Mus musculus: one gene and its partners. The protein of the gene in region 1 purifies or fractionates together with the protein of each later gene. This does not show direct contact. Links are inferred from orthologs where the notes say so. Each region holds a gene or a part of one and is shown in the gene's direction. Other genes may lie near its edges.

What was found.
Region 2: the proteins of E2f6 (region 1) and Wdr5 purify together in Homo sapiens (affinity purification with mass spectrometry; 4 studies listed by BioGRID and IntAct, counting the BioPlex papers as one, with this or other methods). This does not show direct contact. The link is inferred for Mus musculus from reciprocal best matches to the Homo sapiens genes E2F6 and WDR5.
Region 3: the proteins of E2f6 (region 1) and Yaf2 purify together in Homo sapiens (affinity purification with mass spectrometry; 4 studies listed by BioGRID and IntAct, counting the BioPlex papers as one, with this or other methods). This does not show direct contact. The link is inferred for Mus musculus from reciprocal best matches to the Homo sapiens genes E2F6 and YAF2.
Region 4: the proteins of E2f6 (region 1) and L3mbtl2 purify together in Homo sapiens (affinity purification with mass spectrometry; 5 studies listed by BioGRID and IntAct, counting the BioPlex papers as one, with this or other methods). This does not show direct contact. The link is inferred for Mus musculus from reciprocal best matches to the Homo sapiens genes E2F6 and L3MBTL2.
Region 5: the proteins of E2f6 (region 1) and Cbx3 purify together in Homo sapiens (affinity purification with mass spectrometry; 4 studies listed by BioGRID and IntAct, with this or other methods). This does not show direct contact. The link is inferred for Mus musculus from reciprocal best matches to the Homo sapiens genes E2F6 and CBX3.
Region 6: the proteins of E2f6 (region 1) and Mga purify together in Homo sapiens (affinity purification with mass spectrometry; 3 studies listed by BioGRID and IntAct, counting the BioPlex papers as one, with this or other methods). This does not show direct contact. The link is inferred for Mus musculus from reciprocal best matches to the Homo sapiens genes E2F6 and MGA.
Region 7: the proteins of E2f6 (region 1) and Max purify together in Homo sapiens (affinity purification with mass spectrometry; 5 studies listed by BioGRID and IntAct, with this or other methods). This does not show direct contact. The link is inferred for Mus musculus from reciprocal best matches to the Homo sapiens genes E2F6 and MAX.

What each region holds. Positions count from the first base shown.
Region 1 is NC_000078.6:16,809,804-16,813,964, forward strand, and holds the start of E2f6 (transcription factor E2F6), read left to right. Parts: upstream 1-1,404; coding exon 1,405-1,512; intron 1,513-2,445; exon of another isoform or gene 2,446-2,569; intron 2,570-4,043; coding exon of another isoform or gene 4,044-4,109; intron 4,110-4,128; exon of another isoform or gene 4,129-4,161. UniProt on the Homo sapiens protein: Inhibitor of E2F-dependent transcription. Binds DNA cooperatively with DP proteins through the E2 recognition site, 5'-TTTC[CG]CGC-3'. Has a preference for the 5'-TTTCCCGC-3' E2F recognition site.
Region 2 is NC_000068.7:27,518,147-27,521,646, forward strand, and holds part of Wdr5 (WD repeat-containing protein 5), read left to right. Parts: intron 1-482; 5' UTR 483-565; coding exon 566-646; intron 647-1,202; coding exon 1,203-1,311; intron 1,312-1,596; coding exon 1,597-1,670; intron 1,671-2,180; coding exon 2,181-2,270; intron 2,271-2,426; coding exon 2,427-2,516; intron 2,517-2,681; coding exon 2,682-2,765; intron 2,766-3,500.
Region 3 is NC_000081.6:93,334,136-93,338,334, reverse strand, and holds the start of Yaf2 (YY1-associated factor 2), read left to right. Parts: upstream 1-1,399; 5' UTR 1,400-1,552; coding exon 1,553-1,578; intron 1,579-1,869; coding exon 1,870-1,995; intron 1,996-4,199. UniProt on the Homo sapiens protein: Binds to MYC and inhibits MYC-mediated transactivation. Also binds to MYCN and enhances MYCN-dependent transcriptional activation. Increases calpain 2-mediated proteolysis of YY1 in vitro.
Region 4 is NC_000081.6:81,673,889-81,677,388, forward strand, and holds part of L3mbtl2 (lethal(3)malignant brain tumor-like protein 2), read left to right. Parts: intron 1-43; exon of another isoform or gene 44-1,008; intron 1,009-1,626; coding exon 1,627-1,744; intron 1,745-2,369; coding exon 2,370-2,504; intron 2,505-2,936; coding exon 2,937-3,025; intron 3,026-3,500. UniProt on the Homo sapiens protein: Putative Polycomb group (PcG) protein. PcG proteins maintain the transcriptionally repressive state of genes, probably via a modification of chromatin, rendering it heritably changed in its expressibility.
Region 5 is NC_000072.6:51,469,128-51,473,415, forward strand, and holds the start of Cbx3 (chromobox protein homolog 3), read left to right. Parts: upstream 1-1,488; 5' UTR 1,489-1,612; intron 1,613-2,124; exon of another isoform or gene 2,125-2,383; intron 2,384-2,688; 5' UTR 2,689-2,717; coding exon 2,718-2,741; intron 2,742-4,288. Other genes in the region: Hnrnpa2b1 (heterogeneous nuclear ribonucleoproteins A2/B1), read right to left, coding at 544-549.
Region 6 is NC_000068.7:119,924,728-119,928,227, forward strand, and holds part of Mga (MAX gene-associated protein), read left to right. Parts: intron 1-1,651; coding exon 1,652-1,994; intron 1,995-3,500. UniProt on the Homo sapiens protein: Functions as a dual-specificity transcription factor, regulating the expression of both MAX-network and T-box family target genes. Functions as a repressor or an activator.
Region 7 is NC_000078.6:76,959,449-76,963,665, reverse strand, and holds the start of Max (protein max), read left to right. Parts: upstream 1-1,417; 5' UTR 1,418-1,640; coding exon 1,641-1,676; intron 1,677-1,686; exon of another isoform or gene 1,687-1,881; intron 1,882-2,376; coding exon of another isoform or gene 2,377-2,403; intron 2,404-4,217. UniProt on the Homo sapiens protein: Transcription regulator. Forms a sequence-specific DNA-binding protein complex with MYC or MAD which recognizes the core sequence 5'-CAC[GA]TG-3'. The MYC:MAX complex is a transcriptional activator, whereas the MAD:MAX complex is a repressor.

The sequences.
Region 1 (4,161 bases):
AGGGCAGGAAAGAAGCTACTTAAGAAAGGGAGGTGGCAGTTTACTGGGGCAATTTTACAGAGACAGGTTTTTGAGAGAACAAGCTAGTAACTTCGATCAGTAAGAACTCTCCACATTACAAATTTAGAAACTAAGGCACAGAACGACTTTTAGAAACTGGCTTAAGACCTTACAATTTGAAAAGATACCTATGGCTCCAGGTCACTTACTTCTCTTTTCTTTTCTCTTTCTAATTTAGTTTCTGTGCATAGAAGTTTTGCCTACATGTATGACTGTCTAACATGTTAACATGTCCGTGCCTGGTGCCTGTGGAGACCAGAAAAAGAGCATTAAATCCCCCTGGGCCTGGAGGTAACATATGGTTGTGAGCCACCCTGTGGGTGATGGGAATTGAACTCAGGTCCTCTGGAAGTTCTCCTAAACTTAGCCAGTGCTCCTCTCCCAGCCCGTTAAACTGTTTTATCTTTCTCCTCCATTGGATTCTGATATCCAGTCTATTATATTCAAAACAGTATCTTCTTGAGCCAGCCCAATACCTGATATAATAATAAGTAATCAAAAACTGATACAGAGCCGGGCAGTGGTGGTACACGCCTTTAATCCCACTTGGGAGGCAGAGGCAGGCGGATTTCTGAGTTCGGCTACACAGAGAAACCCTGTCTCGGAAAACCAAACCAAAAATAAAATAAAATAAAACTGATATAGAGGGTAAAGTTTGTGGTTTTGGGACAAATTCTACTCTCACTACGAACTTTAGCTGACTTCGAATTCAAACACGTGATCTCCCTGCCTGGGCCTCTGTGGAGCTTGGCTTTGAAGCTTGCACCTTCTGGTCCCTCCAAGATGGCTTGTTTCATGAGCATGTGCTAAGCACCTTTAGATGACTGATGGGAGCCCCACCATCATCGCCCCGGGGCACTCAGAACCTGCAGTCCGCTGGTTGGGACTAGAGAGCGCCTGCTCCGATCCCCCGGAATCCCTGCTCCACCTCTTTTCTTCCCCCAACCCATCCCACCACACACACCCCCACCCCCCGCCGCCGCCATCCTCTCCAAGGATCCATCCTCCGGAACACCCGGGCGTCGGCAGCGGGCGAGGACCGGTGTGCGCGGGAGATCTAACGGACGGCGCTGCGCATGTGCAAACGCGGGTGCACTGCGCATGCGGAAAGATGGCCGGCCAGGGAACCTGAGCGCCTCCGCGGTCACCCTGGTCCCCTCCGAGCCTACCCTGACCCCCTCTGCGCCTGGGCTCATCGCTGCGCGAGTGGGACCGCGGCGCTTCGTGGGTGGAGCCGCAGTGCTCCGTGGGTGGAGCGGGCGGCGCTGAAGGGGCCGGGAACGCGCGCGCCGAGCCTCCGGGGAAGGCGGGAGGGCGCGTGGGGCGCGAGGGGCGCGGGACAGCATGAGTCAGCAGCGGACGGCGCGGAGACAGCCCAGCCTGCTGGTGGACCCGGCGCAGGAAACGGTGCGCCGGCGTTGCCGAGACCCCATCAACGTGGAAAACCTACTGGTGAGCGGGGACCCGGGCCACGGGAGGTCAAGTGCTGTGGGACGCGCTCCTTGCATCGGGCCCTCTGCACAGTGTCGCTTGCTGCCCCGGGGCTCTCCCTGCAACTCCCAATTCTTGAACCGCCCTTTGCTTTTTAAATGTTTCTATTGGATTTTTCTTACTTTGTGTTGGGGTGGGGGCCGCGAGCGCGTGGATTCCACGGGGCACGTGTAGAGTTTAGAAGGCAACTTGGGGCAGTCTGTTCCATGCTTCCAGCCTTGTGGTTCGCGGGATGGAACTCTGGTAGAGTTTGTAAAGCTCGGTGGCAAGTGCCTTAACCAACTGGGCGATCTTGCCTGTCCATCTTTGCTGTCTGACAGGGGAAATGAAAGAGTGAGAAAGTTCCCTCCGTTCCGTGCTTCCCACCTTTCTCAGGGTCCCTGCTGGATTCTTCCTTTGTCCGTTTCTCCTGATCGCTGTTTTCTCAGCAAGGCAAGCTGTATCCAAGCCATTCTGGCGGGTCCTGTGCCATGAGCATTGTCTTGTCTGACTCCTTGGAGCAACCTTGAGATAGTTATTTTTAGAGTTTGTCAGAACTGACCCAGAGATGTGTGTACAGAGATGTCTGGCCTTGGGGCTAGGTAATGAGGAAACTGGGAAGACCCTCAGAATGACTGCAAGTGACAGCCTTTCCCAAACTTCTCTCTCTCTCTCCCTCTCTCTCTCTCTCTCTCTCTCTCTTTAAGTAATTTCTGCTCAGTTTCCACCTGATCTTGCATTACCACCCAGCACTGTGCTGGGGACTCTAGTCCTAAGCACTTGGTAAGATTGTTGTAAATAAGATCCGTAGGTCACTGATGGTTTTGTCAATTACAGTATTCGTTTCACACCCTATCTTGTGTCATAACTAACCACTCACTTTTGGCTGAGAACTCTTTGTTGTGTTTTTGACAGCCATGGTGGGTCCCCTTGTCCCCTTCGCCTTCCTTTTCAGACACGTGGGTGTCATCCAGGATTCTCTACAGTTTGTTCATGTAGGTGACCGCTCACTACTGCTAACTTGTGGCCTGTGATCATGGTAGGTTTTTTTTTTTTTTTAAGGATTTGATAGACGCTCTAAATGAAAACCGCTTAACTTTTGGTTATCAGAAGATAACGTCTTCTAAAGTCTTAGATTTCTTATCCAGTCTGGTATTTTTAGTTGCCTCGAGGTAACTCCCAAACCTGTACATCTTTCCTGGAGCTCTCCAACTGTTTGTTAGATGTCCCTTCTTAAAAAAGAAAATGTCTTCGTGGATGCCACGTGTGTACTGGTGCCCACGGAGGCCCGAAACCAGTGTTAGATCACCTGGAGCTCATAATAAGTGGTTATGAATTGGCACATGGATGAACTGAGCCCTCTGGAAGAACAGCGAGCGTTTATAACTGCTGAGCTGCAGATTTCAAACTCTGATATCCAAAGCCAGATTCACAGACACACCCCACCCCACCCCCGCCTTAAGAAAGCAACCTCTTTCTCGAATCCCACCTTAATGGTGCTCTGCCTATCGTGGTGCCTGAGCCAGCACTCTGGACATGGCTGTTACCTTTTCCTCTGTTTCAGAATCACCCCCAGACACCCCCCCTCCCACCCCCAGGTCACTGAAGTCATTCACATCAGCTATTCTGTGCTATAATGCCATCTCGACCAGTTTCCTGCCACTGTTGCTGCCTCTCACTCACCGCCTGTGTGCTTCATCCTTAACGTATGGTCTCTTGAAGGTGTGTTTCTATCTTCATTTGGCCAAAGGAATTAGTGGTTCCTTAGTGCTCCCAGGACAAAGTCGAGTCCTCGCAGCATAATCTGGCTCCATGTTTGCCTTTCCTAAATGATCTTTCTGAGGTTGCATGCTCCATCCTAGGCCTCATTTCCATATTGACGTTTGTCAAGATGTCTGAAGTCCAGATTCATGGGTAACTTGTCTTAAGACAAGTGTCTTTAGCTCCTCTTTACCTCAAGACTGTTAGCCAGACTCTGTGTGTCCCAGAGCAATTCTATACTTGACTGCTCAGTCCTCTGCGGGTCTGTTTGATACTGTAGTGAAGATCTGGCCATGGACAAAGGATTAAGCAAGAAGTTAATAAAGTAGGGACTCTATTTTCTTGCCTGTAAAATAGTGACTTAACATGTCAGTAGTATTTTTTTAATTGACTAGCAAATGCAAAGAATTAATAAGCCATGTGCAGAGCAGTTACATAGCTTGCTAAGTGTTGTTGCCAGGATAAGTTAAATGGCTTAAACCTGCTCTTGGCTTTGGGGAGCAGGGAGAAGACAATCCTGGATGGAGGTGAACTTGGTTTGCACATTAGATGATCAGGAAGATCTGGGTGGTGACATGAATGCAGTCACCTTAGAGAGATTCGTGTTCAATGAGCTCTTGAAGGAGTCTTGCTCCCACACAGGGAGCTAATACAGAGAAACCTATGCATAGAGAGCAGTAACTACTTAGGAGGCAGTGCCTAGGACATTAGTCTCTAAAAGTCACTTTTTATTTTTCTCTCCACCTTTAAAGCTTCTAGCCAGGTGTGGTGGCCCAGTTCTGTAATGCCAGTCCTTGGGAGGCAGAGACAGAAGGATGGTGAGTGAAAGGCCTAACTAGGCTATATAGCAAGTCCCAGGCTAACCTGGAT
Region 2 (3,500 bases), on another chromosome or scaffold:
ACTCAGGACCTCTGGTAGAACAGTCAGTGCTCTTATCCACTGAGCCATCTCTCCAGCCCCAGAATCATTGTTTGTTTGTTTGTTTATTTATTTATTTTGTTTTTGTTTTTTTTTTTCGAGACAGTGTTTCTCTGTGTAGCTCTGACTGTCCTGGAACTCACTATGTAGATCAGGCTGGCCTGGAACTCAGAAGTCTGCCTGCCTCTGCCTCCCAAGTGCTGGGATTAAAGGCGTGCGCCACCACATCAGGGCAAATTTTATTTAACTTTTGTTTTCCCTCTCTGCATGTAAGTCTGTGTGCCATGTGCATGCAGTCCCTACAGAGGCCAGAAGAGGATGCCAGATCCTCTGAGCTGGACTCACAGATAGTTGTAAGCTCACAAGTGGGAATCAAACTTAGGTCTTCTGGAACTGCATTTGGCGAGCTTAGCTACTGAACTATTTCTCCAACAACCTTTGTTAAAGAGAGGATTTGTTTATAGGCCCCTTACTATAGAGTTCAGCTGACAGCCTCTTCCATTGTGACTCCCCCTTCACGGTGTCCTGCCCTGTGGGCTTCAGAGCCATGGCCACAGAGGAGAAGAAGCCAGAGACAGAGGCTGCAAGAGCACAGCCCACTCCTTCCTCATCAGCCACACAGAGCAAGGTATGTCCCACAGGCTGGAGAGATTCTCAGGGACATTATTTTATTAATCTAGGCTTCTCTGCCCAGTGAGGTATGCTGCCAGTATTTCTGAGCACACAACAGTGGTCACACAGAGCAGTCAGGTGCCACACCAGGGAGTCCCAGACCTAAGATGGAGGTGAGGGTATTTATCAAAAAGTACAGTTTGTTTTGAGGCAGGGTTTCCCCTATAGTCCCTGGCTGGTGAGGAACTCGACATGTAGACTAGGCTAGTATTGAACTCATAGAGACTCAACTGCCTCTGCCTCCCTCTCCCTTCCTGGGATTAAAGACATGCACCACCATACCAAAAAAAATTACAAATTCTTGGTGTGCTAAGGTACTTCAGGGAAAGTCGGGGCTTTCAAGAGAGGTGCTAGGCTCACACTGGCAGTTTAAAGGGGGACATCAGATAAGGTTATAGTAAGTTCTTGTGTATGAGTTTGGAACCAGCTAGTGCTTGATTACACTTTGGGAATCAAGTGGGTTGATTGGGTGGTGGTAGTTGCCTCTGGCTAATCTGTACTGTTTCCTCCAGCCCACACCAGTTAAGCCAAACTATGCCCTGAAGTTCACCCTGGCTGGCCACACCAAAGCTGTGTCCTCTGTGAAGTTCAGCCCCAATGGGGAATGGTTGGCAAGTTCATGTGAGTATCCTTCAGTCCTTTGGAGAGGCGTCTGAACTTTGTTGGAGGAAGGAGGATGAGGAGGCTGGACTGTGTTAGTTGTTACTGGTCTCTGGGTTGGTTAGCATTCAGCATGTTTGTATGGAACTGAAGTAATTGCCTGTTCACATGCTATTGCCCCTCTGCAGTGAAGGGTGTACTTCTGTGTGTCCATACTTAGTTCATTGAGTGACTCAGGCCTCCTTCCTTTGGGTGACTGTACAGCCACAGCCTTCTCTGACTTCAGCTCCCTTTCATTCCTTTCAGCTGCTGATAAACTCATTAAAATTTGGGGAGCATATGATGGAAAGTTTGAGAAAACTATATCTGGTCACAAACTGGTAAGTTTCCCATTAGGTGCACTAGGTGTTGAGCAGGGTGGCTGGGTGCCCTTGCTGTACTCAGGCTGGCCTTCAACTTGGAGATCCAAATGGAGATCTGGCTGCCTTTGCATCCAACTGTCTAGTGCAGGGATTAAAAGGTGTGCACCACCACCACTTGGGCTTGTCAGGACTGTTTTTAAGTGTAGTGGGTGCAGGGCCTTACCAAGTAGTCCAATTTGGTCTGGAACTGCAATCCTCCTGCCTAAGAATCGGGCTTGCTCTACCATACCTGGCTTGCTTATATTTTTAGTGCAAGCACAAGCACTTTGAGCCTCCACAGGGGAGTGAGTCTAAGAAGTTTGGTAGAGCTGAAAGTACTGGCCTTTTCCTCTGGGCCAGGTGTTTTGTGGTGCTAACACTGGCTGGATTTCCTGACAGCATGGTGTATAGGTTAGTAGGGTTGATCTTTTACTGGTCATTTGGATTTTTGTCCCTCAAAACCAACTGTTTTTTTTTTCCCTTCCCAAGGGAATATCTGATGTAGCGTGGTCATCAGATTCTAACCTCCTTGTGTCTGCCTCTGATGATAAAACTTTGAAGATTTGGGACGTGAGTTCCGTAAGTGACACTGGTCTTCCAGGGAGTGCCCATAGTTGAGATGAGTTGGCTGTGTAGATGGTTGGTCTTGGGTAGGTCTTCAAATGTACAAGAAGCTTGTATTTGGAGATTCAGCCCCTGGAAGTCACAGACCTTGGTATGCTATGTGTGCTCTAGGGGAAGTGTCTGAAGACCCTGAAGGGCCACAGTAACTACGTCTTCTGCTGCAACTTCAACCCCCAGTCCAACCTCATCGTCTCAGGGTCTGTAAGTGCGTGGTTTCTCCTCCAAGGGTGATGTGTACAGTGTCATATTGTGCTTGGTTGGGGTAGGCAGTTTGGCTTTTATGTGGGGACAGGTTCTGGGTCTGAGATCACACTGTTGCTGCTCCTGTTCCTGTAGAATCACTTTAATGTCCTGTCTCACCTTTAGTTTGATGAAAGTGTGAGGATATGGGACGTGAAGACAGGGAAGTGCCTCAAGACTTTGCCTGCCCATTCGGACCCAGTCTCAGCCGTAAGTAGTCTTCCTGGCCTGTCCTCAGAAGTTCCTCTGGATGAGCCGACTTGATTTGCTCACGTGTAGCATCCCAGTGACCAGAGGCCTGTGAGCTGTGGTGGGTGGTGGGTGGTAGGTGGGGCACTCTGTGGGCTGGGAGGTAGATGACAGGGATTTTTCAAGAGGGGTGTCCTTCCTTGAATGGGCTTTTTCAAAATGGGCTGACAGTTTGGAAAATAGGGAGTCATGAGAATTTTAAGTGAGTGAGGTGAGATCCTAGGGTTTCTATTATTCTGATAAAACACAGTGGCCAAAAGCAACTTGGAGTGTCCTAAGCTTGTGTTATTGTTGCTATGATGAAACACCATGACCAAAAACAAGTTAAGGAAGAAAGGGTTTTTTTTCCTACATTTCCATATTGTAGCCCATCACTGAAGGAAGTCAGGGCAGGAACTCAAGCAGGGCTGAAACTTGGAAGCAAGACTGATAGAAAGGCTGTGGAGAAGTGAGTGAGTGAGTGCAGAAGTGAGTGAGTGAGTGCTGGCACTCAGAAGACAGGGGTAGGCCTGATCTACACAGTATGACTTCTAGGATAGCCTGGGCTACGCAGAGAAACCTTGTCTCAGAAAAAAGTGACTGCTGCTTACTGGCTTGCTTTTCATGGCTTCCTCAGCCTGTTTCTTATAGAACTCAGGACCACCAGCTCATTCTGCTGGCCCTCCCATCAGTCTCTAATTTAAGAAAATGTCCTGC
Region 3 (4,199 bases), on another chromosome or scaffold:
AGCCTCTTTTATCTTGGAAAATTAACGCAACCTCTAATATATAACTTTTACACTCAACTAAGTCAGACTCTCTATTCTGCAAAAATAAAGTAATACTAAGCACCCAAGCAAACCCCACATAAAACAATCTTTTAAATGCTTTTCCAAATTTCTAGTAACTCAGTGCCTTGTGCAAGTGCTCCATCTCTGAGCTGTATACTCCCACCCGTTCTGCTATAATTCATTTTGACTTTCTTTTCTCAGAAGCTTGAAGCCTATTTCCCTCTTAATTACCCCAATTAATATCATATTCCCAATGATAAAAAGGAGAGCATCCTCCAGTTTGGTTATTAACTCTTGTTTGGTAAGTAACACATCAATACAGTAGTCTCCCTTTTGCTGGAGTTTTGCTTTCCTGTTTCAATTACCCACAGACGATATAGTTCAAAATATTAAGGACTTCCTAAACAGTTAACTCCTCAAGTTTTTAGTTGCCATCTCACTCTGAGTATCATGATGAAAATTTGCTCCATCCTGCTCTGGCCCAGCTGGATACATTTTCTAAACAACCTTATAGTATCCCAGGAGCCACACAGTCAGATCAACTGTTAAGTACGCAGTGCCTGAACTGGGTCCCCTTCAGTTAGTTAAGCCTGATGCGGAGGCTACAACGCCTCCATCAGCACACCCAAATAAGGCAGAAGAAGGCAGGGCTCCGAGAAGGGATGGATTTCATCTCTCCTTTCTTCAGGGGCAGCTTTCCTGATGACGGTTCACCGACTTGGCATGCTAAAGTCGCCCCTCGATCAGAGGGATGTCAAGCTAACTCTGGTTGTGGGGTACCCGCCAGATCGGCGAGGTGGGAAGCAGAGCTTCAAGGACCAGCGAGATGGCTGTTTGGGTCTAGCAGGCGAGGTGTGTATCCCCGACAGGCTGGAGTAAGGAGACTCGGGGAGGTGGTGTCCAGGGCACAAGCAACCTCGTCTGCCTTACGTAGGCTCACGAGCGTCCGTTTTATAACAAGCCACTGCAGAGCCCCGTGAGGCCAGGAGGACGCCGCTGCAATTAAAACCGGATCAGACCCTGGTTTCGTCACGTTTGAATTATGTAAGCTAGAGCAGGGCACCGAACCTCTCCCGAGCCTCTGGGTCGCTTCCCCAGAAGGAAGGATGACAGTCCCCGCCGCGCCGGGCGCACGCGTGTCTGCGGGCGCCTGCCATCGCGCCCTTCGGGGCGTGCGAGCCACGGCCGGAGCGCTCCGGGGCAGCCAGCGGGCGGGCGAGCTGGAGGGAGGCGGCGCCGCGAACTCGCCGCCGGTGCTGGGCCGCGCTCCCCGCGTTTGAAGTCTCCGGCGCGGCCGCTGGTTGGCCGGCGCGGGTCACGTGCGCGCAGGCAGGAGTTTCCCCGACAGCTGGAGGCTGCGTGGGATCCGGCGGCGGCGGCGGCAGCGGCGGCGGCGACGGCGGCGGCGGCGGCTGCAGCTCGCGGCGCGGCCTTCCCCGCCCCCTCGCCTCCGCGCTTCCGCCGGCCCCTCACCCCGGCGCTGACAGACCGGCGCGCGTCGGCAGCGAGCATGGGCGACAAGAAGAGCCCCACCAGGTAGGGCGCCCGCCGGCGGAGCGCCCGCGGCCCGGGGTCCCGTGGCGTGGCGTGGAGCGGCGCGGCGCGGGGCGCGCGCGTGTGTGTGGGGAGAGGGGGTGCGGCGCGGCGCGGCGGGGCGCGCGGCTGCCCACAATGGGCCGCGATGGCGGCCGGGGTCAGCGGCCGCGCTCCCCTCCCCCGCGCGGCGCCGGGCGGGGCGGGGGTCGCGGGCCGGGCGGGGCGGGGCGCGGGGCCGGGCGCGGCCTGCGGCTGACCCCGCGCTGCGTCGTGTCCGGTTGTGTCCTGCAGGCCGAAGCGGCAGCCGAAGCCCGCCTCGGATGAGGGCTACTGGGACTGCAGTGTCTGCACCTTCCGGAACAGCGCCGAGGCCTTCAAGTGCATGATGTGCGATGTGCGGAAGGGCACCTCCACCCGGTGAGTCCGGCGCGCCCGTGGATCCCCCGCGGGGCCCCCCGCGCGACGCGGGACGGCGGGGCGGCCAGCCAGGCGGCGGCCGCGGTGGGGCGCGACCCGGCTGAGCCGCGGCTGGCGGCGAGGGCTCGGTGGCGGCGGCGGTGGCGCCTGCTGCGGAGGATGAATTATCCATGGGGGTCGCCGGCCGCTGCCGTGCCGTGCCGTTCCATGCGTGGCCGGTGCGGTGCCCCCTCCCCAGCCGGGCGCAGAGACCGTGATCGCTGGTCGCATTGTGGTGTTAGTGTGCGGGGAGGGGGCGGGGACGGGGAGCCGGGGCGGGGGAGGGGACGGAGGAAAGGCCGCGATGTCACTCGGTCCCCCTGGGGAAAAAGTATCGCTTGTAGGATCGTAATGGATTAAACTTTCTTAGTAACGGATGTCCGGAAAGGGTCAGGCCAAGGTTTCGCGTCTGGGTTTTTTTTTGTTGTTGTTCTATTTCTGTAATAATTTTTTACAGTTAAGTAGTTGGTTGGGAGGTGAACCCAGCAACGCAGTTTTACTCCAGTGCCTGGATATTTTTACACAAACGAGATGACATGATCTTTGTCTGTTGCCGGCCCTGGATTTGTTGTATGGTAGGCATATAGTATTATAATTGTCTTTCCAAAAAAAAAAAAAAAAACCATTTAAAAGAGTTAAATTTAGGAAATTCGAACTCAGTAGCATTCTTGATCTGTCTCCACTTGGTCATAGTTCCCTTGGGAAGGCCGCCTTTAAATCCACTTCTACAGTGATTTGTAGCAATATTTAAGTAAGGCATTTATTTTGCTGCTATGAAGCCTATTCAAATACAAATGATTACAGAATACGGGGAATTTTCTGTTTGAAACAGAGGGCCTGTATAATTTTGACATTCTAAATAGTCAAAGTTATTTCTAAAAATGATGTATCCTGTTTTTTTTTTAAAAACTCAGTTTATAGAATTTTACTAACATTGTAAGTGTAGAGACATGTCAGGATTTTATTGTTTCTACAATACTGGTTGTTTTTGACATACCTGTCATAAATCTCAATAGGTTTTTACTACGAATTCTCATTTACATTGAATACAATATTTTTAGTATTTCTTGGTGTCTATTAAAAAGCAAGGTTTTAAATCCCTTTTAAGTTCAAGGAAAGATTCTAAAAAGAGAAACTACTTGCTATTTCTGGACTCACGTTTTAAGTGTTTTGGAAAGCACGGTGTATATGTCTATATAAGGATGGAAACGGCTTAGTGTATAATATATGTGTATTTGTAAATGAGCAATATGGAGATCATTTGACTTGGGTTTTTTTTTTTTTTTTTTTTTTTTTTGCTTTTGTTTTTACTTGTATCCTCTCATACTTTTAGACGAACACTGGATTAGAAGAGCCTATTTGTTTATTTGCAGGGACAGCAAGGATGGGGGCAAGCTGGTGTGTCCTACTCCACAGCCAGTCTTGGGGTTAGAGGAGCCCCGAGAAGTAGAGTAGGTGGTGACACTCAGAAGAGAAGCACCAGGCTGAGTCCCTGACTCCTGGAAGAAGGAGGATTGTAGCACACAGGGGAGCTGGCCCACAACAGAAGTGGGCCTGCTTTAGAGAGGCCTGAGACCCACCTGCAGGCCCCTGGCTTTTTGTTTTTGTTTTTGTTTTTGTTTTTAACCAGTAGATCCAATTTTTAGTGGTGGAAACATTACTTGAGGAGGACTCAGAGAAGCATTGTCATTTGGATTGAAACTGAAGAGGCTCTGGGCCCCTCACCAGAAGTCTAAGGGACACCGTGTTCCTAAAAGTAGGTGCTCAGAACGGTGTCCCTCTGAGCTTCTTCCTCTCTCTCTCTCTGAATTGTCTCCTTTGACTTTACCCCTAAGTGAATGGCAGGAGTTGTAACTTCTCTGTTGTCTGTTACATTTCCCTTTGCTCCCCCCCTCCCCCCCCCCCCCCCCGCCCCGAGATCTGTGTTTGGATGGATCAGTAGAACATGGTCTTGTTAATAAGTAGATGCTGGTTACATGCACAGTGTTTGGATGGATCAGTAGAACATGGCCTTGTTAATAAGTAGATGCTGGTTACATGCACAGTGTTTCCTCTTAGGAGTGACAGGAAACCAGGTGAAGGACTGGGACACAGATGGAAGGCAAGAGTTGAGTGGTCGGGGGACATTGTTCCCCCAGTTGATGTGCCTGTTGGCAGATAGGATG
Region 4 (3,500 bases), on another chromosome or scaffold:
CTCTCTTGCCCCCAAATTCTCCTAGTTCTAGCCTTTTTTTTAAAATAAATTATCTTTTTATTTTTTCACAAATAAAAATGACTAGTGACATGTAAAGAACATGACAGTAATACAATAGTAACAGTAATGGACGAGCTATCTCATAGAGACAGAAGTCCACTAAAATAGTATACTGATTTTAAGAAAGACTGTTAAATCTTGGAATAGTATATTTTAACTAAATCAACAAATCAAGGTTGAGCACATGTCAAAACATCATCTAGAACCCATAAAGTGATATTAAAAGAAAAGAAAAATCTGGAATTCCGCACACAGGGCTCTTGATTGAAATCAGGGAGGCTCAAATCTGTTTATCTTATTAAACACTTATGGGTACAGCTAGGTTTTTCTAAATGTTTCATTAGTAATGCTGAGTCTTGTAAGCCTGGTTCCATAATAGTCTATAATGTAACTACTTCCATCTGAAGGTCCAACAATCTGCATTGAAATAAGAATGAAATCAATTAGGCTCCCAATTCCGCAAAATCCTACGGTGCAAAAATTTAACAAGCGTAAGGCAGGATATCCGAGGTAAAATCGATCTGCTCCCAGCCATCCCAAAAAGAGAGATAATGCAACTGCCACTTTGTACGAATAGCCATTCACATTTCGGCAAGTTATGGGCTTGAGAAAACCGACTTCACTTCCAGTAAAATGTGTTTCATTACCACTCAAATCCTTTATAAGTTATTTTGGGTGCTGGAAAACATTGAACATGAGCTGTGTAGTTTGTACAATTAACTGGTTCTTGCGTAGCATCATTTATTTTTGGTTCTTTTTACAAATATATTGTCCCACCCTGAGGTCCTCACACCTCTCCTCGCCCCCGACAGCGCCAGAGGCAGCAGCCCCACAGTGTCCCTCGGTGACCATCACGAGCCACAGAGTGCGGAGAAGGCCCGGAGGCCCGGCTGCTGGGGAAGCCCGGCCCGCGGGCCAGGCAGCCGCCATGTTGGGCACTGCGTCCTCCCAGCCTTTTTATTGTAGGGAACTAGATCATGTTTAACGTAAGATTCAGGATGCTCCATAAAGTGCTTGCTCCGTGTGTCCGGGCCTCTTTGTGCTTCCCCAGGTCCCTGTGAACCTGTCACCTAGGGATATGGGTTGTTAGTGGTTTAGGTCAGGTCTGAGAGAGAAAGAAGATGCTTTTCCTAAAGGAGCATCAGGTTCTCATTGGCAGCAAATCAAGGATTAAGCATTGGGAAGGTCGGAGAAGCCACCCAGTAGGAAGGGACGGGGTAGGCTGTGGGTGTGCTCTGCCAGCTCTGCCAGCCCAGGTGGAATGGTATTAGGGAGGTAATGTCTGTGCTGAGTCACTGGTACAGCTGGCCAAACGACAGATACCCAGGTGCACCACAGTGTCCACACTGATAGTCAGGAGCTGGCCCTGCACTGATGAGAAGCAGGTCTGTGTCTCTGGCCCTCCCTGATGGTGCTTCCATGTTTCTGGACACTGGGCATGCCCCATTTATCTCTCTATTCCTAGTTTTCTGCACCATGCATGATGTGGGGTGAGGGTCAGAGGACAGTGGGCCCAGGCCCATGGGGCTCACTTTTCTCAGCCCACCAATGCTCTCATCATCACAGGTACCCCTCTATGACCAGTGGGAAGACGTCATGAAGGGGATGAAGGTGGAAGTGCTCAACAGCGATGCTGTGCTCCCCAGCCGGGTGTACTGGATCGCCACTGTCATCCAGGCAGCTGGTGGGTGCTGTTCTGGCCACGGCAGGGTCTGAAATTTGTTTGCCATGTGTCGTATCTAGTAGGTGGTTAGTGTTAGAGGGTGAAATGGGTTTCATAAATCAAAATGTCACCCATGAGCTTTCTCTCCCCTTCTTAGGGATGTTCCTCCTTTAGATGAGAACACAGGGCTAAATCTTGAAAGTTAGTTTTGTTTTGTTACGTATTTTAAATGTTTAGTTGGTGGTTTTGGTTTTTTTGAGACAGGGTTTCTCTGTGTAGCCCTTGCTGTCCTGAAACTCACTGTCTAGAATAGGCTGGCCTCAAACTCAGAGATCTGCCTGCCTATGCCTCCTGAGTGCTAGGATTAAAGGTGTGCACCACCACCACCTAGATTTTTTTTTTATAAGGTTTATTCTGGGGATGATGAGGGCATAGGAGCAATCGCCAGCTCAGGATGCTTTCTAAGAGTGCAGCGTGGATATTGTTTTGTTCTGTATGTCGGGGACCCCACTAGCCTGGAAGGAGTTCCTGGATAGGAAGTAGGAAGTCTGGCTGGTGCTAGAGAAGGAAGAAAGTCTGAGAACCTGCCTTCCCGATGTCACAGGTCCCATGCCTTCCCCACATCACAAGTCCCTTGTCCTTTCAGGGTACCGGGTGCTGCTCCGATATGAAGGCTTTGAAAATGACGCCAGTCATGACTTCTGGTGCAACTTGGGAACTGTGGATGTCCACCCCATTGGGTGGTGTGCCATCAACAGCAAGATCCTGGTACCTCCACGGAGTGAGTTCAGGAGAAAGCTCCCATCCTGGCTCCTGTAGGGCTCTGGGCAGAAGCCTTCCCTACCCAGTCTAGAAGTCCCTGGACAGTTTGCATTTATAGAGCCTGTTTGTTGGTATTGTGTGCCTGAGTAGTGAATGTCTGTTCACTGTGTGTGCTAGAAGGTCAGAAGAGTGTTAGATCCTCTGGAACTGGGGTTAGAGATGTTGTGAATCACCATGTGGGTGCTGGGAACAGAACCCTTGTCCTCTGGGAGAGCAGCCAGTGCATCTAACCAGGGAGTTGTCTCTCTGGCTCCCAGAGGCTGGTTTTATAAGATGATGTCATCACTGGCCTGAAGTTGCAGAACTTAATAGTTATGTCTGTGTAGCTGATCTCTGGGTTGGTGAAGGTGTGATCAGTCTGTGTCAACAGTCTCTGCCGGTGTCTCTGCAGCCATCCATGCCAAGTTTACTGACTGGAAGAGCTACCTCATGAAGCGGTTGGTGGGTTCCAGGACACTTCCTGCAGACTTCCATATCAAGGTCTGGCTGGGTTCCCAGCTCATTCCCTCCCTCCCTCCCTCCTCCCACTTCCATCGGTCAGTTTTTCCATCCTTCATATGATTCAGGCATTTGTTTTGTTTTTATGATTCTGGGGGTGGGACCTAGGGATTTCCATACACTAGCACTATGTGTACAGCCCCTCGTTCCCCATCAAAATACTCTTCTGAGACGTCTTGGGCAGCCTTCAGCCCAGTGCTGCTGCAGTTGCTGGCCACCTGCCTCCCTGCCAAGACCCTGGTACAGCATATCAACTATGTTGCTTTGTTGGCCTTTGGGATTTAACATCCCAGATTCTTGCCCTTGCATTTTCAATGTATCTGAGGTTCCCATTGCTGTGATAAAACCCTAACCACAAAGCAACCATGAGAGGAAACGGCTAATTCTGCTTATACTTCCACATCCAAGAGATCAGGGCAGGAGTTCAGGAAGGAACCCAGAGGCCTGAACTGAAGTC
Region 5 (4,288 bases), on another chromosome or scaffold:
CTTCCAAAAGAAAGGAAAATCGCTAAACACGTCTACGCAGTGGTGAAAAAAGAAAACCAAACTAGTAAACCTAAAGCGTTGAAAGCAAAATCGTGGCGAGGAAGGAGACGGGAAAATGGCGGCCGCCAAATCCGGTTCCCGGGAGAGGGGGGAGGGGAAGCTTCGCAGACTCGCTCCGGGAAGCCGGGGGGGCCCCAGAAACGTTCCGCCGCGAACACAACCGAGCCCCTAGGCCCGCGCACATCGAAAGGCCAGCGATGGCCCGCTCACGCGCTACTTTAGCGGTCCAGCCCGGTCGCGGCGGGCACTTCCCATCCCCCACCCCAACTGAGGGAAATGGCGCCGGGCGGCTGAGGGCGGGGAAGGCGGTCGGACAATCAGAGGCCTCCTCCAACGACCCCTCAGAAACTCGCCAAGGCCAACCGCCACTCGAGTGGCCGCATCCCCTCCGCCGGACCACGGAGGCGGGTGGCCGGTTTCCATTGCGGTGCCTACGGCCTCGCCATGCCATTTTTAATAACTCATTGATTTCAAACCCGTTACCTCCATCGCGGACTCAGTCGCTTCAGCCCGATTTCCCGCAGCCGAGCGAGATGAGAAAGACCTCCGCGGACGGACGCGCACGGGACTCGTCCTGGCGCTGTGGGGAGAGCAGGCGATGGCCAAGAAACTGGGCCGCAAAGGAGCTCCTGCACACGGGACCGGCGCCGCTGCTACTGCCGCTGGAGCCGAGACCGCCGCTTTTCTAGAACCTTCCCCCCACTAACGCGTCTCCGCTTACGTCACGCCGTTACGTAAACGCCCTAACCGCCGCCAATGGCGGGAAGGGCCTACACTCTCCTTACGCCAAGTACGTGACACTCCCCCTTTAGGTACAGCGGGACTGCTTTACATCACTTGCGCAACTGTGTTCCGTGAATTGCGGAAGGCTCGCGCTCGGCGTGTTACTACGTCCGGAACTAGGTCCGGCCCCCACCTCCGCGTAGGGAGCGGAGAAACGGTCGCGCAGTTTGAAATAACGCCGTCGGGAGGGGCTTAGGCCGGCGCTGGGGCGTGCGGCCCTCTCCACCCAAGCGTGCTCTCTGCAGCTACGCCTTTGCCAAGCCCGTCCGCACAAATATTCTCGAACCACACAAATATTTCTACACGTCCCAAAGGGGTTCTCACTCGGTCCCTCCCAGAAGGACTTTTAGTCCAAGTACCACCCCGGATGCCACAAGCCTTGGGATCCCGCGCCTAGTGAGAGGTGGTGCTTAAAGAACCCCGCTGTTTATCTCCCCGGCCTTCAAGATCCGGGCAAGGAGGTGGGTGGAGCCCCGCTTTGGCGCGCTCCGAGACGCAGAGAGGCCTCCGCGGTCCTTCCTGCCCGCCTTCCCCCCCCTCCCCCCAGCCAGGAGACCCCCTGGGCGCCACGCCGCGGACGGTGAGCATTGCGCGCGCCGCCCCCCGCAGGACGCGTTCCCGGCGGGCCCCGCGCGGCCAGGGCGTGGGCGGTGCTCCCCCTCCCCCCCGGCGGAGCTGCCCGCGCCCCCTCCCCTCGGATGTGGCTGAACCGAAGCGCGCAGGCGGGAGACTCTGCAGGATCCGCGGCCCTGAGCATCGGAGCGGTGAAGTTCGTGCCTTTGCTTTTTTTCGATCTTGCGTGTGGTGGGGTTTAGGATGCTCCGTGCGTCCGAGCTTGCGGGGAGGCTGCGAGCCCCGTGGGCCGCGGGCTGCGGGAAACCGGCTGGGGCCTCGCTGAGGCGGGCGCCGCGCCGGTGCGTGGGGGAGATGGGACAATTGTGCATGAGGGTGGGAGCCGGATGACAGCTACCGAGACTCCAGACAAAGCGCGGGCCTCCCCTCCCCCAGCCTCGTCGCAGGCCCGCAGGGAGAGAGCGGTTCAGGCTCTGCAGCTGCGAGGCCCGAGGCTCCGGGCTGCGGCGCGCTCCCGGCTACGTGGCCGCCGCCGGATGGGGGAGGCGCGGGCCCGTGGCGCAGTGCCCTTGAGCCCCCGCCGCCGCCTTTGTTTCTCCCCGCGGAGGCGCTGACCACGAGGCCCGCGCTCTCGGGTGGGGGACGGGCTCCCGACCGGGGAATGGAGCTGGGAAGGAGCCCTCCTCGGAGGGGAGCGTGAAGGAGGTCGACTCCTTCTATCCTTATCAGGACAGTACTTGGGAGCTTGAGGCTGGGGATTGCCAGGCGTTGAAGCCCAGACTGGACTATAGAGAGTGATTACCGCACCACCACCCCCGGAAAAAAAAAGCCAGAAAATAGGACTGGGACATCTTAATGTGTTCCTTTTTTTATACCGTGATTGAACAGGGAGGGCCTCTGAAAAAATAAGGATGGAATTATATGAGCTCCTTGGAGTATTCAGAAATCTAAAGAAAAAGATCTTATGGTAATTTGCTAACAAAAGATAGTCATTTCCTTTCATCCAAAATAAACACTAAAATTGTTAAAATTCTATATGGATTGGGAAAGTAACAATCCTCACCATGTAAAGTTGTCTGAGGTACCAGTGTTTTAGTAAGATTATTTTCACTAACATACTGAAATTATTAGTAACATACTAATAACACGGGAACTCAACTGTTTTCCTGCATTTTTACCCGAAATTTACATGTTGAAATCCACACAAAACTTGTAGCTGCCTTTTGTGTGTCATGAAATTTTAACTGTCCTACATTTTTTTTCTTGCAATAGCTCTTCAAGTCTCCGATTAAATTTAAAAAATGGCCTCCAATAAAACTACATTGGTAAGTTTGTGAAAACCTAGAACATAAGAATCTTAACTGAAGGATTTTTTTTTTTCTTTAAAATTACAATTAAGAAACCATGTGGTGGTGGATCTCTGAGTTCGAGACCAGCCTGGTCTGCAGTGTGAATTCCAGAATAGTCAGAGCTACACAGAAAAACCCTCTCTGGGCGTGTGGGTGGGGGAGCTAGAACCTGTGGTGGACATGGTTGTGCCTTCCTTTAATCCCATCATAAGTGGGTGAATTGCTGTTAGAAGCCAGCCTACCTAAGTCCTTGTATTTACCAGCATTCTAAAGAAAAAGGAATTAACACTAAGTAAGGCTTTTCTTAAGGAGGATCACAATACATTTTTTTGAAAAAGCGTTGTACAGTTTTTGCTGGATGCTTTTGAGGTAAAAAATGCATGTTTGTGGGTTATAAAACAGCTCAATCTTCAGAGCCCAAGGAAAAGTGGAAAGAAAAAACAAGTTTCTACCAGAGTGTGCCTTGATTTCCACACAGGAGCTCCATCATATTGTTAATGAGCTGAATGGGGGAAGAGTCGTGGACAGCTCTATAAAAGTCTTGTGGGTTGGCATGATTACCCTGGAAGCTGTGCTGTTCTGGAGACACTGAGCATTCATTAGTGCACAGAGAGTGAGTTAGATAGAGCTCACGTTGCCATGAGCAAGAATTACAAACTGTCTAGGAGTGATCTAAGACTGTTAGATCAATTCTGTTTCTTTTCAGCGATTTCTGACTGTTGCTAAATCCAGTGTTAGTTTTCTTGGGATTTCTAGTAAGTTAGACAAATTTATTTTTGTCAAGTTATATTTAAAATAAATAAAACTGGGTCAGCCAGGCAGTGGTAGCCCACAACTTTAATCCCAGTACTCCAAGACAGAGGCTGGTAGATAGATCTACACAGCGAGTCCACGGACACCCAGGGCTACACAGAGAAACCAAAAACGGAGGGAGGAAAAAAAAATGGGTCTGAAGGTGTATGTTTGTGATCCAGCCTGTGAGAAGCTGAAGCAAGCAGATTGCCTTGAGTTTGAGGCTAGCCTGGATTCCAAAATTCTGGGTAGTCGGGGCTGCATCCAAGACCCTGTCTAGAAAAAGATTCATGTCAAAAGAGTGAAATTTACAGTTGTGGTTTCTACATTAATTAGGACACATTGATCTCAATCATATGGAGGTGTGCATTAACAAAACATGGGTTTTTATCCTTGAATTTCTGACCAAAATGAGCAAGAGGGTATTTCTATCTCATATAGTGCATGACTTCAACTGGTCTGCAAAGTGGACTAGATTCTGTGATCAGAAGCCCTGATGGTCACTCTTAGATGACCCAATACAGTGATAAGCATGAATCATCTGGTAAACTGTGGAGATGCTGTGAGTGTGGGTATGGCCCTGGATGCTGATGGACTGAGTATCCTGGTTCTGAGGTGCTGCTGGTGATTTTTTTTTTCCTGCGTGATCCTTCACTTGGTGATGGTTAGAGGGACTAGGCATTTGATAGGGGGTTATTTTTGTGATTCCTTTAAAAAATTTTTAAGTAGCA
Region 6 (3,500 bases), on another chromosome or scaffold:
GCCTTTAGTTTTGTTGTTGTTGTTGTTATTATTATGACAGTCTCACTATGTTGTTGTCCTGGAACTCCCTCTATAGACCTTGCTCTCCTTGAATTCAGAGACATCTGTCTGCTGCTTCTGTCAAATGCTGGGGTTAAGGGTGTAGGATACAACATTTGGCTTAGCATATGTGTTTAATCCTAGTACTCAGGAGACAGAAGCCTGTTCAAGGTCAGCCTGATCTACATAGTGAATGCCAGAGTAGCCAAGCTACATGGTGAGACTCTGACTCAGACAAACCAAAAAAAGGTAGAAAATCATAAACGTGCCTAGCCCTGGTCCCTGGACTTCACATGTATATCCATGGGGGTTGGCATAGCCACACAGTTGTACATGCCTACATTGTACATGTGACACAGATAAATTTAAAAAAAATGGGGTTAACAAGCTGGCTTAGTGAGTAAACAGGCTTTGTGCATAAACTTTGTGACTTGAGTTTAATCCCCAGAAACAGTGCATAATCTTGTCTTCTGACTGTTTTCTGTGTTATGGCACATGCACCCTTGTATATCATGCACATACAATAATTAAAAATAAAAGTCTATACTGAATTGTAGAACTGAAGATCATGAGATGTTGGCAGTATATGCTTTCCTGTAATGTGTGTGTGTGTGGGGGGGGGTGTACATGTATGGGTGTTTGTTTCTTCTATGCATGATCATATATACATGTGTACCGGTGTTTATAGGTAAAAGTTCATGTCACGTGTCCCTCTCCCCATAATCTATGGAAGCAGGATCTCTTCTTAAAGTGAGCTAATTTATCTAGCCAGCTGGCCCCAGGAATCCCCATCTCTGTCCCCAAAGTACTTAGAGATCCTAGATCTTGCCTGCCCAACTTTTATGTAAGTTCTTGGGATCCATACTCTGTTGGTTTTTTTTTTGTTTGTTTGTTTTTGTTTGTTTGTTTGTTTGTTTTGAGACAGGGTTTCTCTGTGTAGCCCTGGCTGTCTTGGAACTGGAACTCACTCTGTAGATCAGTCTGGCCTCGAACTCAATAATTAGCCTGCCTCTGCCTCCCACGTGCTGGGATTAAAGGCGTCACCACCACTGCCCGGCCACACTCTGGACTTAAATGTTTGAACGTCAGTGCTTTACCCACTGAGTCAACTCCCTGTACTGTATTTTCTAGTCATTATAAAGATTCAAGCATGTATGATTCTCTTATTTTTATTGTTTACTTAGGACATTTTGTGTAAAATAGTAGTAATTATTTTGCATTTTGCGGACCATATATGCTATCAGAGAGTTATTACTAGGATGTTCTATTCTAGGCAGTATGAGCTTGCTTGTGCTTCAGGAAAATCGTATGAGACATTGTTTGACCTATGTACCTTAGACTCATCAGTCCCTACAGAAGAACATTATATGTGGTTTCTATTGAGTGAAGAGAATATTTGGTGTTTTTGCTCTTAATAAGACTCCTTTGCTAATGCATTAGAGTGGCAGCTTCTTTACGCAGAGCCCTCATTATATGTGTTTGACTTTTGAATTCTGTGTTAGTCTTGTGTTATTAGTACTAGTAATCAGAAGGTAGATGAGTATGTGACTCTTAAGTTGGTGGTAGTATTGGGATGATTTAGTAAAATTTTAATGTTCTCCTTTAACTTTAGGCATCTCTCAAAACTAAACCTATCCACACAATCATAAGGAAACGAGCTCCTCCATGCAACAATGACTTCTGTCGCCTGGGTTGTGTGTGCTCTAGTCTAGCTTTGGAAAAGCGCCAACCTGCTCACTGCCGTCGACCAGACTGCATGTTTGGTTGCACTTGTTTGAAAAGAAAAGTTGTGTTGGTTAAAGGGGGATCTAAAACAAAGCATTTCCATAAGAAGGCTGCTAATCGAGATCCATTATTTTATGATACGCTGGGAGAGGAAGGAAGGGAAGGAGGAGGAGTCAGAGAAGATGAGGAACAATTGAAGGAGAAAAAGAAGAGAAAGAAGCTCGAATACAGTGAGTATTAGTTGACTTAAAACTTGTCATCTTATTTTTTTTATAAGTGTATATTTTTGATATGTGTATATACTCATTTCTGTGAATGTATGTAGAGGGGTCAGTGGTTGAAGTCATGTATTTTCCTCACTTGCTTTCCACTTGTTTAAAATAAGTTTTCAACATTACACTTACTTATTTTGTATGTGTGTAAATGTGGAAAACAGAGAACAACTTGAAGGAGTCATTTCTCTCCCTTTACCTTGTGGGTCCTGGGCCTGGAACTTGTGTTGTCAGATTTGATGGCAGGTTCCTGATGTGCTGAGTCATCTCACTGGCCCTCTGAAGTTTTGGAGAGTTTTCACTGAAGCTGGAGCTCACTGATGTGGCTAGATTGGTTGGCCAACAAATCTCCAGGGGGTGTGTGTGTGTGTACATGATGTGGGTGGGGGCTGTTTATCCTCTTTCTCAGCACTGAGGACTAAACTCAAGACCCTATGTTTGCTAACTAAAGCCCTCTACAATTGAACTAACTCTTTAATCCCCTCTAAATTGTTTTTTAATTTTTTAAACATGTATGTTTGTGTGTGCCCAAATGTTTGTATCATCTGCATGTAGGAGCTCTCAGGTCATAAGAGACATTGGATCCTCTTGAATTGGAGTTACAAATGGTTGGACCATCATGTGGGTGCTGGGAACTGAACCCTGGTTTGGTTTATTTATGGAGACATGGTTTCTTACTCAGTTTAGCAACTGGCCCCAGGGATTCCCCATCTCAACCTTTCAAGAACTGATACCGGTGGCTGTCTTTCCTACCCAGCTTTTATGTAGGTTCTAAGGACTCAAACTCTGGTCTTAAATGCTTGAATGGCAGCACTTCATCCACTGAGTCAACTCTCTATCCCTCTGTTGTGTATTCACTATACATCTCTCTAAACATGCTGGCTCCCAGTAACCTCAGCATTTAGGAAGCTGAGGAAGGATAGCTGAGTTCAAGGCTAGGCTAGTTAATAAAGATACTCTGTCTCAGTTGTCTCCCCACTGGAAGAAAAGCATAAAGTGTCATTTAATAAAAAGTAAATTTACCCAACAAGGTAGAAAAACATCTCTGCATACTAGCTACATTGATAGACTGGAAAATAGTATCTTTGAAGTAGAAATTACAAATTACTAATAAGAATATGTTTTAAAATGTATTAGATTTATTTTAAAAAGACCAACCATGTTTCAGAACTTGGGTGATGTTCATGAGTAGATGATGTATGCCACAGTCAGTGAAAGCCAAGAAGACTAAGAAGGCAAAGATCTTGGTACAAGGAAATTCAGTAACCAAATCAGTAAACATTGTGGTAAAAATTTGAGCAATTAGTAAAAGTAAAGAGAGTCCATATGAACAATTGGAATAAATGTAGTGAAGTACAATTACATTTCCTCTTTAAAGGGTTATTTATATACATTCTGTAAGCACTAATCACAAGCATGTTTTTGATGATGAGTTGATAGGCTTTGTGGTTTTTAGAATATAGT
Region 7 (4,217 bases), about 60 Mb from region 1:
TACAGAGTGAGTTCCAGGACAGCCAGGGCTACACAGAGAAACCCTGTCTCGAAAAACCAACCAACCAACCAAACAAACAAACAAAAAACCCTCTTACCATCTTTGTCTCCCTTACAGCCCTTGACTTCTATTACGAGTCAGTGTCTGCTTATGACTGTGTTCTCATCACTAGGCTTGGCCACACGGACATTTAAGGCCAGCCTGGGCTAGGTGTCAGAAAGATTGTATTACACCACCAAGTTTCTGCACTCAATAGTCAGGGGTTAAATGATTTTTTACTCAAAAAACATTAACTCATAAATCAAACTCAAGACCGCACTCATTTTGAAGATCAATTGTAAAGTGGTAGTCTGGTTAATTTCTCAGATGACCTTATTATTACTGTTTGTTTGTTTGTTTGTTTGTTTGTTGTTTCATTGAGGACCTGGTGCACACTGAAAATGGTGACAGGGTAGTCCGGTTTTTGCTTTCAAAGCTGTGAAGTCTTTGAGGGGACACATCATGCCATTCCTGGGCTGCCACATATTAGATACTTAGCTAAATGCGGGTGGGGACAATGTAGTTACACTTCATACCTCGTTGCATTATGTATGACCTTAACTGGACAGGGAGCTGCACAACTTTCCCGTTTTGATTCTTTTTGCAGTTAATTAAAGTTCTCTATAAACTGGGGCACTCCCTAATCTGCTCCGGCTACAACAAACAGAAGGTAGGTTTTACTTGCACCTACGAGAGGTTTTGTAAACACTCAAGCCCAGCAAGGACAGTTCTCTCGGACAAATGAAAGCAAGATTCTTGAGATGAAGGACACCCGGCGAAATCGGTCCTTTAGTTTGTCCCGTAATGTCTCTTAACACCTTAAACCCAGATAACAGAGGGCCCGCGTGGGCATCTCGACCGCGCCCCCTGGTCAGCCACAGCGTGATTCCTTCCCGGGAGGGTTACGCCCCAGGGCGCAAGTGGAGCGACTCAAGCATTAAACGAGACAATGTAAAAGCAGTCTAGCCAAGAAGAGACAGTGTTATTTTGGCAGCCAGTTTCTCTCCCCCCGCCCCCAAACCCCCGAGCCTCCACCCAATCCCTTGGGCCGGGCGCCCAGAGCTCGGAATTGTGGCCGGCTCCAGGAGCCCAGCTCCCTCCACGTGTCCTGTCTTCCCAGCAGCCTCTCCGCCGCCTGGGGAGGAAAATCTCCTGACAACTCGCGGTCTGTGGACTACATCTCCCGGGAGGCACCGCGCCACTTCTCGCTGCCAACACCCGGGGCGCAGGCGCCCTGAGCTCTGTCAACAAGCGAGTCTGGCGAAGCCTGTGTGCGGTTCCTGATGGGATTTGTAGTTTCTCTGGCTCTCTCTCACTCGCCCATCCGACGCTCGAGGACTACAAGTCTCAGCTACCCCGGCGCGGTGAGCCCGGTCACGTGTTAGGGGGCCGATCGGGCGTGCGTGCCGCCGTTGATCCGGTGCTGCAGTGAGGTGGTTGTCGCCCGTGTTGTGTGTGCGTGAGTGTGTGTGAGTGAGTGAGCGAGTGAGTGAGTGTGTGCGTGGGGGCACTCGGCTTGTTGTTGTCGGTGACTTCCCCCTTCCCTCCACCCCTCCCCTCCCCGGCCGCCGCTGCAGTGGCCGCTCCCTGGGCCGTAGGAAATGAGCGATAACGATGACATCGAGGTGGAGAGCGACGTGAGTCCTGGGGCTTCTTCCTTTCCGTTCGGGTTGTCAGGCGGGGACAGCGGCAAGGGTTCTCAGCCGGGCGACGGCGGGAGGGGGTCGGGTCGCCGCCGCCTCCGTCCTTTTCTCCCCCTCCCCCCGGGGCCGGGACCGCCTGCGTCGCGCTCCAGGCTCGCTCCCCTCCAGTCCTGTCCGGAGAGGCCTCCTGGGACTGAAGGTGGGAGCAGACACGCGGCCTCTGGGACCCCCACATTCTCCCGTGGAGGAGGGTGTCGAGGCCTCCCTCTCCGCTCTGCCCGGCTGGGGATCCCATTATCCTTCCGGATCCTGGGCAAGGAGACCAGCGCTCAGCTCTTGCTCTTTGGGTCCATGAGCTCCCTCCTCCTGTGACCGGTTGATCCTTGGGGTGAAGGGGCTGGGAGTGCTCTGACGCCCTAGAGGGATCGAGGGAGAGCAGGCAGTGTTCCGGATCCCTCTTGTCCGGTTCGGATCCCAGAAGGAGGGGCAGTGCCTGAAACCCCCCCCCCCCCCCCCCCCAACTAGGCTACGGGATCTCGCTGGAGAGAGTGGAAGGGGAAAGAGGGAGGGAGGGGTGTCAGACTGACTCCCCACCCGCTGCTTCCTCCGCCGCCGGCATTTTCTTTCTTATTATTGAATTCGAAGTGTGAAAATAACTTCTGTATTTTCTATTTTTCTCTCTCTCTTATTCCAGGAAGAGCAACCGAGGTTTCAATCTGCGGTACGTCTCCTACTCTCCATTTCATTTTCATTTCCGTTCAGTTTTGGTTCTTTTTGGAGTCAGAAAAAGAGATCGTTCTATTACTTTTAATACTCTTGTAAACTCCTCTTAACCGCTAAGGTGAGGTTGAGTCTGTTGGGGTTGGAGGAGGGGGGCGTTGCAAATCCACATGATTCTTGATATTCAGGTGGTAGATTCTAGTGAGTAGGTAGGTAGGTAGGCAGGCAAGTGAGGAGGCCTGTGCTGTGAACTGAGTTGTTCTGTAGTGTTCAGTGCGGCGGAGATATGTGAGAAATGGAAGGGCATTCTGAAGTGAATGGTAGTGTTATTTCAGAGCAAACTGGCTAGGTTTTATTTAGGAGCAGGTAAACTTTAAGCAGTATCTCCATAGTTGTGTGAAGTTGCAGGCACATGTAATAATCGCCTTTAGCCAAGGTCATGTGACTACTGCAGACTCCTAGGATCTAGAAAAGCATGATATTCCCCAAAAAACGACAATGGAAAAAAGAGAGGCGCTAGAAGTTAAATATTGAAAGTGGCACAGCTTTTTGTGGTCTTGACTTTCCATTTGAGAAGAAAAAAAATGTTGAAGAGTGGCACTGTTAGAGACAGCTTTGCTGAAAGGTGATGGATGCATCCATATAATGTTATCAGTAACTTATTAGATTTTTTTATATTAATGGGGTTTTTTTGTAGGTGTTTCTGGCTTTGGGTTGACCCCATGCTTTCTTGTCTGGAGTCTGAGACTTAGGAGTAAATAGGCATAGATTAGAGAGAGAGAGGAGAGAAGGAATAGACTCAGAATACAACCAGAGGAGAGAGAGAGAGATGGAATATTTGATGGTTGGAAATGGTAGGGAAAGAGAATGGAGTGAGGTCCTCATTACCCGTGAGGACCAGGTAACAGCTAGTCAAGGGTGGAAGGAAGAGGTGAGGATGTACACCCCTTCTAAAAAGTCCGTAGCCACCTGCCCCTGCTGCTTGCTACCTGAGAGTGATCGGTGCTGCCCGGTGCTGCCAGATCTTTTTGTTTCCTTCAGGGCTGAGCCCTATCCCTGGAACCTCAAAGTTTATGAGAAATGTTAAAATACTTGAAACACAGATTATTACTTTTTTGGGTGTGTTTATGTGCATTTAACTTTTGACTGTGCTAGGATTCGAACCCAGGGCCCTCGCATGCTGTGCAACCCCTCTGCCATGGAGCTTCAACCTCAGCCTATTTAATTGATTTTTTTAATTACATTTACTTAACGTGTGTGTGTGTGTGTGTGTGTGTGTGTGTGTGTGTGTATGTATGTATGTGTGTATGTATGTATGTATGTGTGTGTGAGTGTTGTGTGGTCACGTGTATGTGATGGCTCACATGTGAAGGTCATAAGAACCACTTGGATTCAGTTCTCTCTCTCAAACACATGGGTCTGGGGATTGAATTTAGGGTCATCAGGTTTGACCTCAGTGCCTTTACCCACTGAGCTATCTCTCTACCTTCTAGTTACCTGATTTTTAAACGATATATGACACAGCTGTTTAGGAACTTGTAGAGTTTGCAGGATGCAACTAGGCTTGGTGGTTCTGGTCGGTAAACCCAGTTACTGGGGAGGCTGAGGTAGGAGGATCAAACGTTCGAGCAATTTACTGAGACCCTGCCTTAACATACACAACACAGAGTCCAGGCTTGTGGCCCAGTATGTAAGCCCAGGGCTTCTGAGGCTTTGGCAGGAGTCTTCCCTGAATTTTAAGCCAGCCTGGGATATAGAATGAGTTCCAGCCTGGGCTACAGCATGAGATTCTGCCTCACACGAACAAGAACTCTC